Tamandua tetradactyla: one gene and its partner. The protein of the gene in region 2 purifies or fractionates together with the protein of the main gene of each other region. This does not show direct contact. Links are inferred from orthologs where the notes say so. Each region holds a gene or a part of one and is shown on either strand. Other genes may lie near its edges.

The links. The genes of interacting proteins can lie anywhere in the genome.
Region 1: the proteins of TIMELESS (region 2) and TIPIN purify together in Homo sapiens (affinity purification with western blotting; 6 studies listed by BioGRID and IntAct, counting the BioPlex papers as one, with this or other methods). This does not show direct contact. The link is inferred for Tamandua tetradactyla from reciprocal best matches to the Homo sapiens genes TIMELESS and TIPIN.

The regions. Positions count from the first base shown.
Region 1 is NC_135340.1:83,377,089-83,385,160, forward strand, and holds the start of TIPIN (TIMELESS-interacting protein), read right to left. Parts: upstream 3,083-8,072; 5' UTR 2,929-3,082; exon of another isoform or gene 2,849-2,928; intron 2,786-2,848; exon of another isoform or gene 876-2,785; intron 335-875; 5' UTR 327-334; coding exon 194-326; intron 88-193; coding exon 9-87; intron 1-8.
Region 2 is NC_135333.1:123,518,351-123,525,690, reverse strand, and holds the start of TIMELESS (protein timeless homolog), read left to right. Parts: upstream 1-4,332; 5' UTR 4,333-4,460; coding exon of another isoform or gene 4,461-4,464; intron 4,465-4,693; exon of another isoform or gene 4,694-4,750; intron 4,751-7,340. Other genes in the region: MIP (lens fiber major intrinsic protein), read left to right, coding at 1-295, 859-1,023, 1,424-1,504, 2,334-2,519. UniProt on the Homo sapiens protein: Plays an important role in the control of DNA replication, maintenance of replication fork stability, maintenance of genome stability throughout normal DNA replication, DNA repair and in the regulation of the circadian clock.

The sequences.
Region 1 (8,072 bases), on a different chromosome or scaffold from region 2:
AAAAGTACCTCTGAGCATCCAACTTGGGTAAATTCCTTTTAACAATTCTCTTTGGAGGTATAGGAACAGGTGCTCCTCTCCCTGATTCTGGTGACATACAACAAGATTTAATATTACTTGACAGTTTCACCTTTATTATCTAAGTTGATAGATAAATGAGCATGGAAACTTTTCTGAAAGTCCCTATACAGACCTTCATCAGGTCCAGCACCCTCACCATCTTCTCTCTCTGGAGAGGCTGGAGGTGGAAAAGGAGGAAAAATTTCATCTCCTATAGGATCATAATCTGGTAGGTCAATCAAGCTGTTCTCCTGTGGTTCCAGCATTTTGTTCTCTAGTGGGGGAAAAATAAAGAGTGAAAATATTAGTCATTCACCCATAATACAGTCAAGTTCCATCTGCAACAAAATTCACGTTTCAATCAGTTAAACCACATTTCAAACTCATACATCATGAAAATAAGTGGAGAAGATGATAATTATGGAAAAAGAATCTGAACAGAAATCAAAGTAACTTGAGTTGTAATGTAGACCCTACTGCTAAATAACAATCTGATTTTGAGCAAATCATTTTACCCAACTGCTGGGTTTCCCCTACCACAATATAATGATTTCTAATTTTTCAGAGGGTGTCAAACTCTGATTCAAATAGGTATGAAATAGGGAGATGGGTACCTCACTCCTACCACAAGGAGGGCAGCTTTTAAAAAAAAAATCTGTTTATATATTGTTTAAGGTAATGTTTCCTTTGGAGAAAGGGAAATTATCCTCAGCTTGGTAACTCAAAAGAATGTTTTTCTATATCATCTTTCTTGACCTCTCAGCAACTTTTAACTCTTTTCTTGAAAAATGTATCTCTTGACATATAGTACTTACCTGGTTCTCCTCCCTTTCTGGACACGCCTCTTGGATCTCTTCTGCAGGTTCATCTTTCTCTAACTTGGCCGCTAAATATCCAAGACTCAAACCTAGGCCCTTTTTGCTCATTTATGTATATGGCTTTAATCATTTACTTATAGACAGCTCACTGATTTTCATCTTCACCCTTGGCCTCAATTCTGAGCTCCAGATCCCTACTTCCCACTTTAGCCCTTCAGTGTTTCAAAGGCATCTATACCTCCTCATGTGCGAACTGAACTTTTAAACTTTCCCTACTCAGTGAATGACATCTATCTAAGCAGAAACCTAGGTGTCATCCTTGACACTTCTCCACAGCCCACATACATCATTCATTTTATTTCCTAAATATCCCTGAAATCTGTCCATTTTTCCCTACCTCCACCACCACTTCTCATCATTTCTTGCTGGGAGTAATCCACTATTCCCGTCTACTTCTGCCTCTATATTTCAGCTGGACTGAATCTTTGGAAATGTAAATCTAAAGACATTACAACAAGGCTACTGTTTTTAGGATAAAAATAAAACTCCTGCATTGTCTGGCCCCTTCCTTCCTCTCTAGTCTCAGCTCACACCACTCTCCAACACTTTTTCCTCTATCCTTGTTGACCTTCTTTCAGTTCCTTGACTATTGCCTGATCCACTGGATTTTTGCAAATGTTGTTTTCTGTCTTGAACGCTCTTTCCTGACTCCTAATTTCAGATCTCAGACCCCAACTGCCATCTCCTCAGAAAAGCCTATCCAAATTTTCCTAAATTAAATCCTCCTATAAGCATTCATAGTATCAAATACCTCTTTTTCATAGTACTCATCCAGTTTCAATATTGTTTTATTTGTGTAATTATCTGATTAGTATTTGTCTCCCATACTAGACTGCACCTCTAAGGGGCAAAGACCAAGTAGGTCTGTTAGCGCCTCATTACTGCTACACGCAGGTGTTAATATCTGTTGAATGAAGAAATGAAAGAAAAGAACTCCAAAGTTCAACCAAAACTGTAAAACCATTGGAACTAACAAGCTCTAAAGTCGTTCTAAGTTTCTATGGCCATAAACTCATAAAAACATAAAGTATCAATTCCTGATGATGACCCACTATCAAGAAAGATAAAAGAACCACAGATTTTCAAAACTGGAAAGGCAGGGAGAGTGCACATAATCTCAAACAGCTTCCCATCTATAACAAATATATTTAGCCCCATTCTAGTAAAGTCCTCTGGGAAATAGGGTCAGACCTCTGAGGCTGAAGGAGAATTTGACTTTGAGGACAGGGTACAAACAATATAAACTGTGGCAAGATCACTTAATATCGAACTGAAGCATAGAGCTGGGTTGCCAGTAAATTGATTTTTCTCTTCATATTTGGAGTAAGATACCTATATATTTCACTTCTTGACCAGGCATACTAGTTTTAGACACTGATATAATCGCCTAGACCTCAAACTCCCAGAAGAGTGAAAGTAACAAAAGAAATCCAGTATACAAACCACAATTCATTCGCACACATTTCTGCTTCGCATTGTCCAAGTCTTTTCCCAAGGCGTCAAAACAGAAGCCCCTTGTCGCCAAGGAAGTCCTAACAGGCTGCTTCCATGTTCCCTCCTGCTATCTCCCCAAAAAGCCTCCCATCCCCGCTCTCCTCTGCGCCAACCTTCTCTCCTCCCATCCTCGCTCCCGTCTGTTCTCACTTCATTGATTCAACATTCAGAGGCTGCTTTCTACGTTCAGAAGCCCCTGCACAGAAACTCGGGATACAAAGACGTGGCAGAAAGGCTCCCTACAGCTAAAAGGTTCCGTTTACTGACAGGCCAGAAACACACAACGAATCTGCCGTCATGCCAGTTGCTTCCTAGCCCCATAGGAAGAGGCCGGTCAGGTCGCCTCTCCTCTCCAGTCCCTGTCGGGCCGCCTCAGTCCAGTCCTCCAGCTTCCTCAACCCCTTCCTGCGACTCACCAGCTCTTCTGCACCTACGCCTGGCTCCCAAGGCCGCCTCTTCCCTCAAGAGCTTCACTCGCCGGCCAGCCCGATCTCACCTCACGCATGCTACAGGAACCACTGCCTGGCGCTTGCCTTAGGTGGCAGCAAACCGCGCCTCTCGCGACACCCGAGCTTCCTGCCACGAGCAGCACCCTGGGCGTTTGGCGCCAAATCTACGGAGGGCGGCAGGGCGGAGCCCACCGGAAGCGCTCGTCCTCCCGCCTTCCCCAGATCCGGCCGGTCCTTGTTGGTCCCCACATTTCTGGGGTCCCTCCCGAAACTGACTCCCGTTTCACTATCGGTTCCGCGCTCATGAATTTCTCACCGGAATTAAGCCTCCTTATTTACGTAAAGTTCATATTTGTTACGCTCTAGGTAATTAGACTCTGAAGTAGGTTTCGGTTTTTGAGAAAATTGGATTGTGAATAGAGTGAAAAAGATAAAAGGCAAACAGTATTTGATGAGAAACTACCAATTCTTCAAAGTTAATAGCAGCAATGCTTTCAGCACAATAGTTTTATTAATTGCTTATTGAATAAGGAGCCGAGGAAAGAGCTGGGAGAGAATTAGAGACTAGGAGTGTAGACACAAAGAAGAAAGTCAAAATGTTACCTTTTTGTTAAGAAAAAAGCAAATCCAAGTATATTCACATTTGCTTGTGTACACAGACGCTTACAAACACCAAAAAAAAAAAAAACTGGCGACACAAAAATCAATATATAACTAATATTTGTAGTGTGGAAACTGAAAGTATGGGATGAGGTAAGTTGGGGACTTAATTTTTCTTCTTTTTTTTTTTTTACATTGGCAGGCACCGGGAATTGAATCTGGGCCTGCGGCATGCCAGTGAGAATTCCACCACTGAGCCACTGTCCACCGCCCTCTATTTATTTTTGAATATGTAAATTTTAACTATTCAGAAAACTAAATTTGGGCGGGCAACTGTGGCTCAGTGACAGAATTCTCGCCTTCCATGCGGGAGACCCGGTTCGATTTCGGAGTCTGCCCATGCCAAAAAAAAAACCAAAACCAAAAACTATTTTTTAAAATGTGTCTTCCTGGGGTGTGATGATGGCTTAGTGGCAGAGTTCTCGCCTGCTATGTCGGTGATCTGGGTTCAATTCCTGGTGCCTGCTCATGCAAAAAATAAATAATATGTTACCTTCAGCAAATACTGAAAGCATCATTAAGATATGACAAATCTCTATACTTCTATGAAGCTTGAGATATTTAAAATTTGAAGAGATGAATCAAATTGTAAAAACAATATGGTATGTAAAATTGCAAATTCCATCTGCCTAAAATTATGTATGTGAATATGTATATGTACCACATTTTTCTTAATTTTTATGGTTTTATTTTATGTATGCAAGATAACATAAAGACAATTAACAATTAACATTAATTTGAACTAGAAATATGTCAACTTGAATAGTCTGAATAACTGAGACAGATAATATTATCCAGATAATAGCATATACTCTCCACTTTGTAATACCTAAAAGGTAAATGTAAAAGCACTTTGAAAAATTGTATCCCATCCTGTGCTGATTTGAAGCTATTATGTACCAAAAAAAAGCCATGTCCTTTAATCTTCATTCAATGTTGCTGGGTGGAATCTTTTTTATTGTTTCCATGGAGATATGACCCACGTGGTAACTTTTTTTGGTGGGGGGAGGGTAACTTTGGTTAGACGGTTTCCATGGAGATGCATCTCCACCAATTCAAAGTGGGGTAGCTTACTCCAGCCCTTTAAGAAGGAACCATTTTGGAAAAAGCTTTAGAGCCACGGGAGTCAACAGAGCCCACACAGCCAGAGGCGGTTGGAGATGAAGAAAGAAAACGCCCCTGGGGAAGCCATTGGAAAAGCCTGGAGAGATATCCAGCAGACATGGCCATGTGTCTTTCCTGTTGAGAGAGAAACCCTGAACATCTCGGCCTTCTTGAACCAGGGTATCCTTTCCTGAATGCCTTTATTTGGACACTCTTTTAGCCTTACTGTAATTTTGACATTTTCATGATCTTAGAACTGTAAACTTGCAACTTACTAATTCCCCCTTTTAAAAGCCATTCCATTTCTGGTATATTGCATTCCAGCAGTTCTTGCAAACTAAAACACACACCACACTCCCCAGCCCCCCCAAAACAAAAGAACAACAGAGGGAAGCTCTGAGGGTTTGAATCTGAGTTCCATTTATCAGTGTCTTTGTGATTCACTAAGTTGTTAAGGGTACCTACATAGACTTGTTAGAATTCAATGATACTATTTAATAAATATTAGCTGTTATTATCCATATAATTATTAGAATATTTGATCCTTTTAGAAAATGTTAAAATTTTAATAAGTAATTCTGTTTGGGCCCAGGCTAGGGTTTATGAATAGTGAATTTGTTAGTATTAATTTCAACTGCGAGTAACAGAAAGAATGAAAATCAACTAAAATAATGATAAACAAGTTTACATGAAGTCTGGAGGTGGCTAAGTCCGGTGTTAGAATGGTGTTCTATCCCCTGACTTCTTGCTTTACCAGCAAGCATTCTACATGGATGTTTCATTCTCAAGTCCTCATCATGGTCCGAGGTGGCTTCTAGAACTCCAGCCTCTTTCCAGTCAGCAGGAAGTAGGAAGGAGAGAAAAAAGCATGTTCCCATATTTTAAGAACATTTCCCAGAAGTTGCATATAACGGTTCTACTACATCCCATTATCCAGAATGTGATTACATGTCCACACCTAGCTGCAAGAGAGTCTGGGAATGTAGTCTTAGTGGCCACGTGCCCAGTTAAAATTCAGGCTTGCAACTACTTGGAAGTAGGAGAGAAGAAATGGTGACAGACAACTGGCCTACTCTGCCACAAATAGCAAACTAGAAAAAAATTTAACTTCCATATTAATTTTGCCAATTTACAATTTTGGAGTGTTTCCAAAAAAATATTAAGAATGTACTTTCACAAGACTGCACATGAGCAATTCGCAACACAGGAAGACTCAAGTAAACTGTACATTGTCTTATACCTTTGGGAATCTTTCCCAGAATCCATCCTCAAACCAGAATGTCAGGTCCAATAATAACTAAAAGCATGACCATGATCAAACTACTTTATGCTCTGAGTCTGTTTGCACTTTTGTAATACAAAAGGTGTTGAATTAGATGATCCGAAAGGTACTGTTTTAATGGTGGATACGAAAGACTAGAACAATAAATCAACAGGTGTTTATGACTGTTATGTAATATAGGTATAAACTAGGGTCCTTGTTCTTAATAAACTTACAATCAAATATGTAAGATATCAAAGAGATCGTCTTTGATCACCCTTTCTATTTTGAGGGGCTCCCCTTACATTATGAGTTCATCCCTGCTTAGGATAGAAATGAAAAACTCATCCTCCCTTTGTCCCTTGTGATTGGGTGTGTACTGAGTATCCTATTTCCACACCTGGATGAGATTTCAGGTCAAAGGAGAGAGATGTGAAGATGGAGGCACTGCTTGGAATCCATCCTGGCTAGAAATTAGCCAGCTTCCAAGGGCAGCAAGGCTAGAGGTACTAGAGGCCATGTGTCAGGGATAAGTCCCATTGGTGGCACCAGTACGGGCACCACTGAAGCAGTAGATCAGCGTAATTTTGGCATTAGTCGATATAGATGTCAAGCCTTGTTTTCTGCCCACTCAGCTATACTAGGGAGCCATCTGTATTCTTTAATAAATTTATTTTGCATTTAAACTAGTAATGTCATTCACAACCAAGAACTATAATGGTTATCAACTGATTATAAGCAATATAATTAAATGCTGATTTCCTTGGAATCCACAGGTTGGTAAATGCTAGAAAGCTGTTCAGGGAAAGAAAGAAATGAGAGATGGGGTAGTAAGAGAAGACTTTGGAATTACATAGACCTTGAGCTGAATCTTGGAATTAGGTAGGATTTAGATAGATGGATAGGAAGGTGTGATGAGAGCAGGGAAATAGCAGTAGCATAAAGGAATTATTAAGTTTAATAAGGAGACTGACCTAATTGACTCTGATGGTGGTGTTGGGAAGAGTAAAAACTAAGGTTGAGATAGTTATTTTGAACAGAAAGGTCTCATCACAGATTCTTCTCTTTTTCATACCTCCCAAATTTTAAAATATTATTTTACATAATATTTGATACATAACAAAAAATACATGTAATATTTATGAATGTTGAAAGCATGATAATGTGATCTACTCTTGTGTGCATGCCATCCAACTCGAAAACTAGCCAATATTTTGCATTTACCTGTGTTTACACCTTCTCCCTTCTCCCTGGACCCCCCACCCTCATGAGACCACCACTATCCTGAATTATCATTCCTTTCCTTTTAAATATAGTCTTGGTATATATGTATGGCCTAAACCATACAAACAGTTGTTTGTTTTTGAGCCTCATAAAAATTGTTTGACTTGCTTTTCTCACTCAACTTTTTGATCTGTGATTCTTCCAAGCTGTTTCATACAACTGTAGTTGAGAGACTTTTCACTGCTGTACACTATTCTATTACAGCATATATCATACTTTGTTTAGTCATTCTCTTATCAGTGAGCTTTGGAATGTTTCCAGTTTTTTTGCAACTATGAATAGTTCTGCTATTGAGCATTCTTATCTTCACATTCTTATATATGTAACACGTGTGTGTGTATGTATGTTTGTGTGTGTGTGAGTTAATCAAAGGGGCAAAGGCATTGAAAGCATGGAGGGAATGAGATCCAGGTCACAGCTGAAGGGACTAGCTTTCCATGGGAGGGTGGAGCATTTCTCTCCACTCTAATATGAAGGGTATTTGTGGTAGGGATTTAAGAATCAGAGAAGATGACTTTGTCATTCCAGGTTTGAAGTTTTCCCAGCAAAGTGCAATGAAAACAAAAAGGGACAAGAGAGTTGAAGTATTTACAGGAAGCAATGGACCTTAACATCTAAACTGTATGGGACAATGACAGGAGGAGACTTGAAAGTGGAGGCTTAAATGAATTTGAGCTCTTGATGGGGCCTAGGGTTTGCTTCCAGGAAAGCGCTTGAGCAAGTAAGCTGGAACAATAGCAGGTTGTGATCAAAGGGTGGAGTGTTTAAATTTACAATATTGGAGGTGGTGTCATTTCTGGGTCACCAATGACCTAGAGAATCAACTAGGTTCTCCCTATCCCTCAAAGGTTAAGTAAAATTGACTCAAATCCTCATCAATTT
Region 2 (7,340 bases):
CTATGTCTTCTTCGGGCTGGGGGCCTCACTGCGTTGGGCCCCTGGCCCCCTGCAAGTCCTGCAGGTGGCTTTGGCCTTTGGCCTGGCCCTGGCTACACTGGTGCAAGCTGTGGGCCACATCAGTGGAGCCCACGTCAATCCTGCAGTCACTTTTGCCTTCCTCGTGGGTTCCCAGATGTCCCTGCTTCGTGCCTTCTGCTATATGGCAGCCCAGCTCCTGGGAGCAGTGGCTGGGGCTGCCGTGCTGTATAGTGTTACCCCGCCTGCCGTCCGAGGAAATTTAGCACTTAACACGGTAATGTTTGGCTGAGAGGGGCTGTGACACCTAGTATTCTGAATCCCTGACTGGTGCGGGTGGATCAGTTCCCTGGGTTCTGGGACGTGTGTGTGTGTGTGTGTGTGTGTGTGTGTGTGTGTGTGTGTGTGTGTGTGTGTGTGTGTGTGTGTGTGTGTGTGTGTGTGTGTGTGTGTGTGTGTGTGTGTTTGCATGTGCCTGTTTCAGGGTGGGGAAGATTAGCCAGTGATATGGAGGGGTAAGGAAGGCATAGAACTCCCAACTGAGAATCAAGGAAACTGAATTCAGGTCCCAGGTTTCCTCCCATCTCCTTGCTGGGTCTTGAGGAAATTTTTTTTATCTTAGGGACCTCAGTTTCCCCATCAGTGCGAGTGAAATTATTTCTACCTTGAAGGAGTATTGTTAGGACAAATTAAGAAACAAATATAATTATTATGAAGGGGGTTGTATTATCATTCCTTTCCAGGGAACTGATGCCATAAGGGGATCCTTGCCTGGGAAGCCTTGAGGAGGTAACACGGTGACAGCCTAATAGGTGCCTTCCGTCTTCTTTCTTTGGCCAGTTGCACCCTGGGGTGAGTGTGGGCCAGGCTACCATGGTGGAGATCTTCCTGACACTCCAGTTTGTGCTCTGCATCTTTGCCACATATGACGAGAGGCGGAATGGCCGCCTGGGCTCTGTGGCCCTGGCTGTTGGCTTCTCCCTCACCCTGGGGCACCTCTTTGGGGTAAGCAGAGGAGGCAAACAACTTCTCATTCAGGGATTCCAGGGCCCCCAAACCTTCCCCAACTTTTCAAGGTTCTTCCCATCCACTTTACTCTGCATCTCCCTGCCTTATTCCTCTCCCTTATGACTGCCATATCAAGTCCTTCTGGACCCTAAGGTGGAAATGCCTGAATCACAGGGAAATATGGGCTTTGTCTTGAGCTCATAGCCTCTTCCCAGATAGCAAGCACATCAGTGCCCTTACCCATTATGGGGACCTTTAAAGAGACGTGCAAGTTGTGCTTCCCTACTTGTTGCTGACTGGAGACAAGGTACCAGATCTCGGGGGCAAACTGGGTTGTGGAGAGAAGAGATGGGATGAAATGGAGAGGGTGTTTCAGTTACAACTGTGTCTTTTACAGATATACTATACCGGTGCAGGCATGAACCCTGCCCGCTCCTTTGCTCCTGCCATTCTCACCCGAAATTTCACCAACCACTGGGTGAGTTAAAGGAGAGGGGCAAAATCCTGAATCTCTTCTGAATGGGTGTGGGCTGCAGGTTCCAGGTTTGTTTCCAGCTTTCTATCTGGACATATTGGCTGTTCTACTTGGCACCTCAGCCAAGGGGACTGTCAGAGAGTTTGGCATGCCTATGTGAGCAGGATTCATCATTTTGCTGGGAAGAGAGGCTCTTGCTCATACTGTTCTTTTTCTTATAGTCAGAAGATTTTACTGAGTACCAGTGGATACCAAAATTAGGGGCTATAAAGCCAGAGAACTGAATATGAAGATAGAAACCTCTGTCTAGCACTTTACTAGCCTGGGTGTAACCTTGGGCAAGTAATGCAATCATCCTAAACCTTGGTTTCTTTAACTATAGGATGGCTGTCATGAGAAATGTGAAAGTTACATGTGGGAAACATTTAGCATAGAATCTGGTATGGAGTAGGGTCCTCAATAAATATTAGCTATGATTAAGTTGTTGGCTATAGACAAACCAAACATTTGAAAATAATTCAATTTTTTTCAAAAGAACATTTAAACTGTGTAAATAGATAACAACAAATTGAATATATGTGTGTTAAGAAAATGTGGGACAAAGGAATGATTTGATGAATGAAAAAATAAATGTGAGTTTTGAGATACAGGCAATGGAGCACAGCCTAGGAGTTAAAGAACAAACGAACACTCACTGATTTCTGCTTAAATAGTACCCAGTTTTATACACCAAGTCCAGGATGCCTGTTTTCCACTGAGAGGGTTGGGAAAAAAAGCAGCCTTCTTCTTAATCCCCTCCCCAAATCTGAGTATTCCTTTCCTTTTCCTGCAGGTGTTCTGGGTGGGCCCAATCATTGGAGGGGCCCTGGGCAGCCTCATCTATGACTTTCTCCTCTTCCCCCGACTCAAGAATGTTTCTGAGAGACTCTCTATCCTCAAAGGTGCCAGACCCAGTGACCCCAATGGACAACAAGAGGGCACAGGGGAACCTGTTGAACTGAAGACCCAGGCCCTGTAAAAGCTCCAGCTGGATACAAGGAGTAGGAAGCTTCTAGGTTTAAATGCAGAGGCTGATTCAGCCCCTAGATGAAGAAAGACTGTGGGGACAGACATGTACTTCTTTATTTTTAAATTTACATGTGGATGTGTGTGTTTTTTCCCCTTTTGCCGTGTGAAATTTTTCAAGTTGCATTCATGAGCTGGTTGGTGCAAACTTTCCTTTCTCCTTCCCCATCTCACCTCCCTTCGCCGTGTGTGCATGATTGTGGGTATGAATGTGGGTGAGTGTGGCTGTGTCTGAGTTTTGGGGCATGAAAGCTAGGGAAGGGAAAAGTGATATCATCCTATGCCTTCCTCCTCCACTCAGTGTGGTGAACACAGGGAACCAAGACTTCAAGTTTCGGGCCTATAGTCTGCTATTAGTCAAGTGTGTGCTTTTTGGTTTCTAAGAGAGAAAAAAGGTGTTACTCCTCACAGGAGGCAGATGGAAAGAAGTGGGGAAACAAGGCATTCCAGTATTTCTCTGGAATGAGAAGGGGCTCAACATTTCTCTGGAATGAGGCTAAGATGCTTGTGGTTGTAGGAATGGTGGTAGCGGTGGGAGACGAGACGGAGAGGGGATAGGAAATGGAGGTATAAACCCCAGACCAGGATGTAATTGCACCACAAAGTTTTGGGGAAATTCATGGGAAAGTATAGCTTATTTATCTCAGGGATGGCTTGCCCCAGGGACTCGGGTGGGGAAGTAGCTTTGAGAAAAAAGAGCACTGGGATACTGGGATTTGAGCTGTTCTGTAAAGCCTCATAAACCTGTCTACGTCCACCGGCTGGCTTGTGTGTTCATTCTGGTGTGGGCCAGCAAGTTCCCAATTAAAAAAATAGGAGCGGATGAGACCAGAATTTAGAAAAATAAAGTTTAGCTGCTCTGCCTGACATCTCCCTTTCCCCCAGAATGGTCTCCTGACAGACAGTACTTAAGCCCCATAAGAGCTTTCTAAGGTCAAAACAGGAATTGGGATGCCGGGAGGAAAACGGTGGAGGTTGGGGAAGATGCATGCTTTGACCCTCAGGGTTTTAACTCAGTCACTGCATCGCCTGCCATGCCGGAGACCCGGATTCGATTCCCGGTGCCTGACCATGCAAAAAAACAAACAAAAAAAAGACATCTTTCTGCTTTTATCACTAATTCTATAGTTCCCTTTATGTTCCTTTTGTGGGTATCTTTTTCATTTTTCTCATCTGCCCTTTCATTTCGCAGCAAACCGCCTCTCTCACACATCCCAGAAATAGACTCCATCTATTTAGATGCTTAATAATTCAAGAGGTAATTATTCGTTTGAGCCCTATCCTTTTTTGTGGTAAGCAAAATACACTCATCTCAGCAGAGGCCAGAGGAGACTCAATTGACCAATGAACATTTAGTGTTGATCTCTTACTTTTATGAGCCAACTGCACACGTCGCAAACTCTAAGCCTGTTCCTACAATATGACAGATTCAAACAAACAAAATACAACAGAAAACATAAAGAACAAACCCTCTCTTTTCCGGACCTCTGCTTTCCACCTCCTCCCAAATAAAGCCTAACTTTTCTAAGTAACCAATCAAAACTTTGGAATAGTCTACTTGTCTAGGAGAAGGGGAAAACTATTTGTAACTTTACTCCTAATCAGACTTTTATTCCTCTTATGTTAAATCAGCAGAAAGTTCATAGCAGTGTGCTTTTTAACGCAATGGAGGGGATCGTCACAGATAAAACAGAACTTGCGCTCTCTTTCCATTTTCTTACTCCATCACCAACCCCCCTGCCCACTCGTATCACGTGGACCAGCCCGCCAAGCCACGCCCCTCTCCTCAGACTGGCGGGGACTGGTCGAGCCGAGTCTAGTGGCGGGAAACGCTGCGGCCCAGCGCCTCTGGGCTGCTGCCTCTACGAGCATCCCGAGGACCCGCGGGGAGCGAATGAGTGAGTGTGTGGGTAGGAGGGCTCTAATCGGACACGGTCGGGTCCCTTTGAAGCTGCGGGGACACTTCTGTGAGGCACCGAGTCCCTGTCCCGCCTCTCTGCTTAAAGGCAGGGAGCGGGGCGGGCGCTCTTGGCGCGCACGCGCAGTTTCGCGCGCTGCGTTCTTCGCCCCGAAGCCGCTGCGTTCCGAATCCGCGCTGGGCACTCTAATCGGTGCATTCCTTCCCGCGTCAAGGGGACCGCCCTGTCCTCGCTCTGCTCAGTTGGTCCTCGCGCGGGCTTAGGGCTGCGATGGGAAAAAAGAATAGATGGTTCCGGAGACTTAAACTTTGAAACACCCCGTTCCGTTCACCCGAAACAACAGGTCTGCGGCTTGGTGGTCATCGGGTTGGAATTTAAGTCATTTAACTTACATCTTTGGTTTTGACAAAACGGACTCCTTATTTCTTCCTCACATTTTCCTCCTTTCCTTTGGACAGCAGGCTTAAAGGAGGACACGGCCTTTGCCTGGGTTTGTTGCCTAGACCATCATTCACTAATGAAGTTTCTTCCCTTGAGTTTCAGTTCTTTATGTCATGCCCTTCATGCTGCCACCAGTTATCTTTATAAAAAGATCAATCTGATGATTTCAGATTAAATTAAAATTTCCTCCTTGGTCACCCATAGTCAGGCTTAAATCCTTAAGTGGGCATACAGGGCCTTTCAAAACAGTTTGACCCTGAGCCTCTCATTTCAGCCTTATTTTCTAAACCTCCCTAAATATTTTCCTTTCTCATGTACGGGACTCACCAGCCACATGGAAAGGATGCCATCTGCCTTGGGCTCTTTCGTGCTGTCCCTACTACTGTGCTGTGCACTGTGCCCAGTGCCAGCGGTACAGAAATGAATAAACAGTGTCAGGCTTTAAGGATCTTTGCGGTTACTGGGTGATGAAAAGTTTGCCCTGGCTTCCATACCCCACACGCTTGTGGGTAAGATTATCTCCTTTCACAACTTCACACTCCATTTTATATCCTAATTCCTTCAAATCTCCAGCTTCATCCTCTCCACCCTCAGGTCAAGACATGTCTGTTTCAGTTCAGTTTGATAAGTATGGAGCACCTCCTATGTGTTGGTCATGATGATTCCTGCTCTCAAGGAGTTTACATTTTAGTGATGTTATTAAGATAAGATCGAGTTAAAATTACCTGAGGAACATTTTCAAAACACTCTTCCCCAAGTCTCACCCCCTGTATCTTTTGATTCAGTATCTATGCTCTGAAAATTCAAAGATGAAAAAGGAACAATTCCTGCCACAGGGAATCTAAGGCTAATGGAAGGTGGCAGACATTTTAAGCAGAATCTGTTTTACCTATTATATGTACAACATGAAATGCGGGTGCCTGGACAGAAGTCTATATATGGCACAAAGTAGACACAAAGGAGAAAGTGATTGCTTTTGTATGGAGAAGTCCGGAGAAAGAATCATTTGGCAGTCTTAAAAGATGAATTGGGAGAAGGGCATTCTGGACAGAGGAGTATCTTGAGAGAGAAGACTTCAGAGGTGATCAGCAGGCAGATCATGCTAATGATTTTATATTGTAGGCATTGAAAACCGCTGAAGTTTCAGTCTTATGGCTGTTGTTTTGACTTAAATTATGATGTATGTAATGGTAAACAATTTAAATAGTACCAAACTGAAAGATAAATATTTCCCCTACTGTGGCCTCCCATTTGAAGGGTTTTAAGCAGGGTGATTGTATGGCCAAATTTGGTAACCATGTGGAAGTTAGATTTAAAGGAACAAGACTGGAAGCAGGAAAAGAGGTTAAGAAAGCAGTTGAGTAATTAAGCAAGAGATATTCAGGACCCAAGTTGGATAGTGATTGCCTATGGCAGGCATAGGAATGAGGTGTGACTGTAAATGGCCTTGAGGTTTTGAATATTAGATTGTGATGATGGTTGTACAATACTGTAAACATAATAAAATTAATTGAATTGTATACTTAAAAAAAAAGAGCCATTCAGGACTTGAACAAGGCAGTAGCAATGGTGATGGATAGCAGCTGGGTAGGATAGTTTAAGGAGGCAGAAATTAGCCAGAATCAGTGATCCATTCAGTGTTAGGAGTTAAGTTGATGAAGGCATCTAGGATGACTCTAAGGTTTCTTCTAACTTGAAAGACTGAGTAGATAATAGTGCCAGTCCCTGAGAGGTCCAAAAACAAAAAAGATGAAGAATTCGGTTTTGGACATGTTGAGTGTGAGGCATTTTTGAGATATGAAGAGGGAGAATGCTCTCCATTAATCAGTTTAACATGTGGTATTGGTACTGGACGAGCTCACAGGAGCCAGAGACAGGTGGTAGTTGAAAGTATGGGAATGGATAAGTTTGCCCAGGAATCAGTATAATGAGATACGATGAAGACTGAACATGCAGGCCTATTGAACATCAGCATTTAAGGTGGAGAGGAGGAACAGTCACGGGGGCAGGTTTGCTTTATTCTGTTCACCCCCCCCCCCCCAATTCCCAATGTATGTAGATGGAACAGTATAAAGGGAAGGTTGGAAATAATTGAGGAACAACCACCTAAGGGATGGAAAGTGATTGAACAAAATCACAAATGGAGGGTTTAGATTAGAAGCATAGAGCGGAGGGTGGGTATTTGAGATATAATGTATGTTTTTTAGGCCAGGGTGACGAGGATTTGAGAGTTCATGGATTTGAGAGTTCATGCCTGATAACTTTGATTGCTACTAAGAGGAAGGAAGCAGAAACACCAGTTGAGAGGTGTGGGATACAGTGGAATAAAGGGGCTTAAGGATAGTGGTGAAGGTTAGAAACAGCTGTTTCTTGGAAAAGAGAAAGCTAACAGGAAAACTAAAAAGGATTTCTAG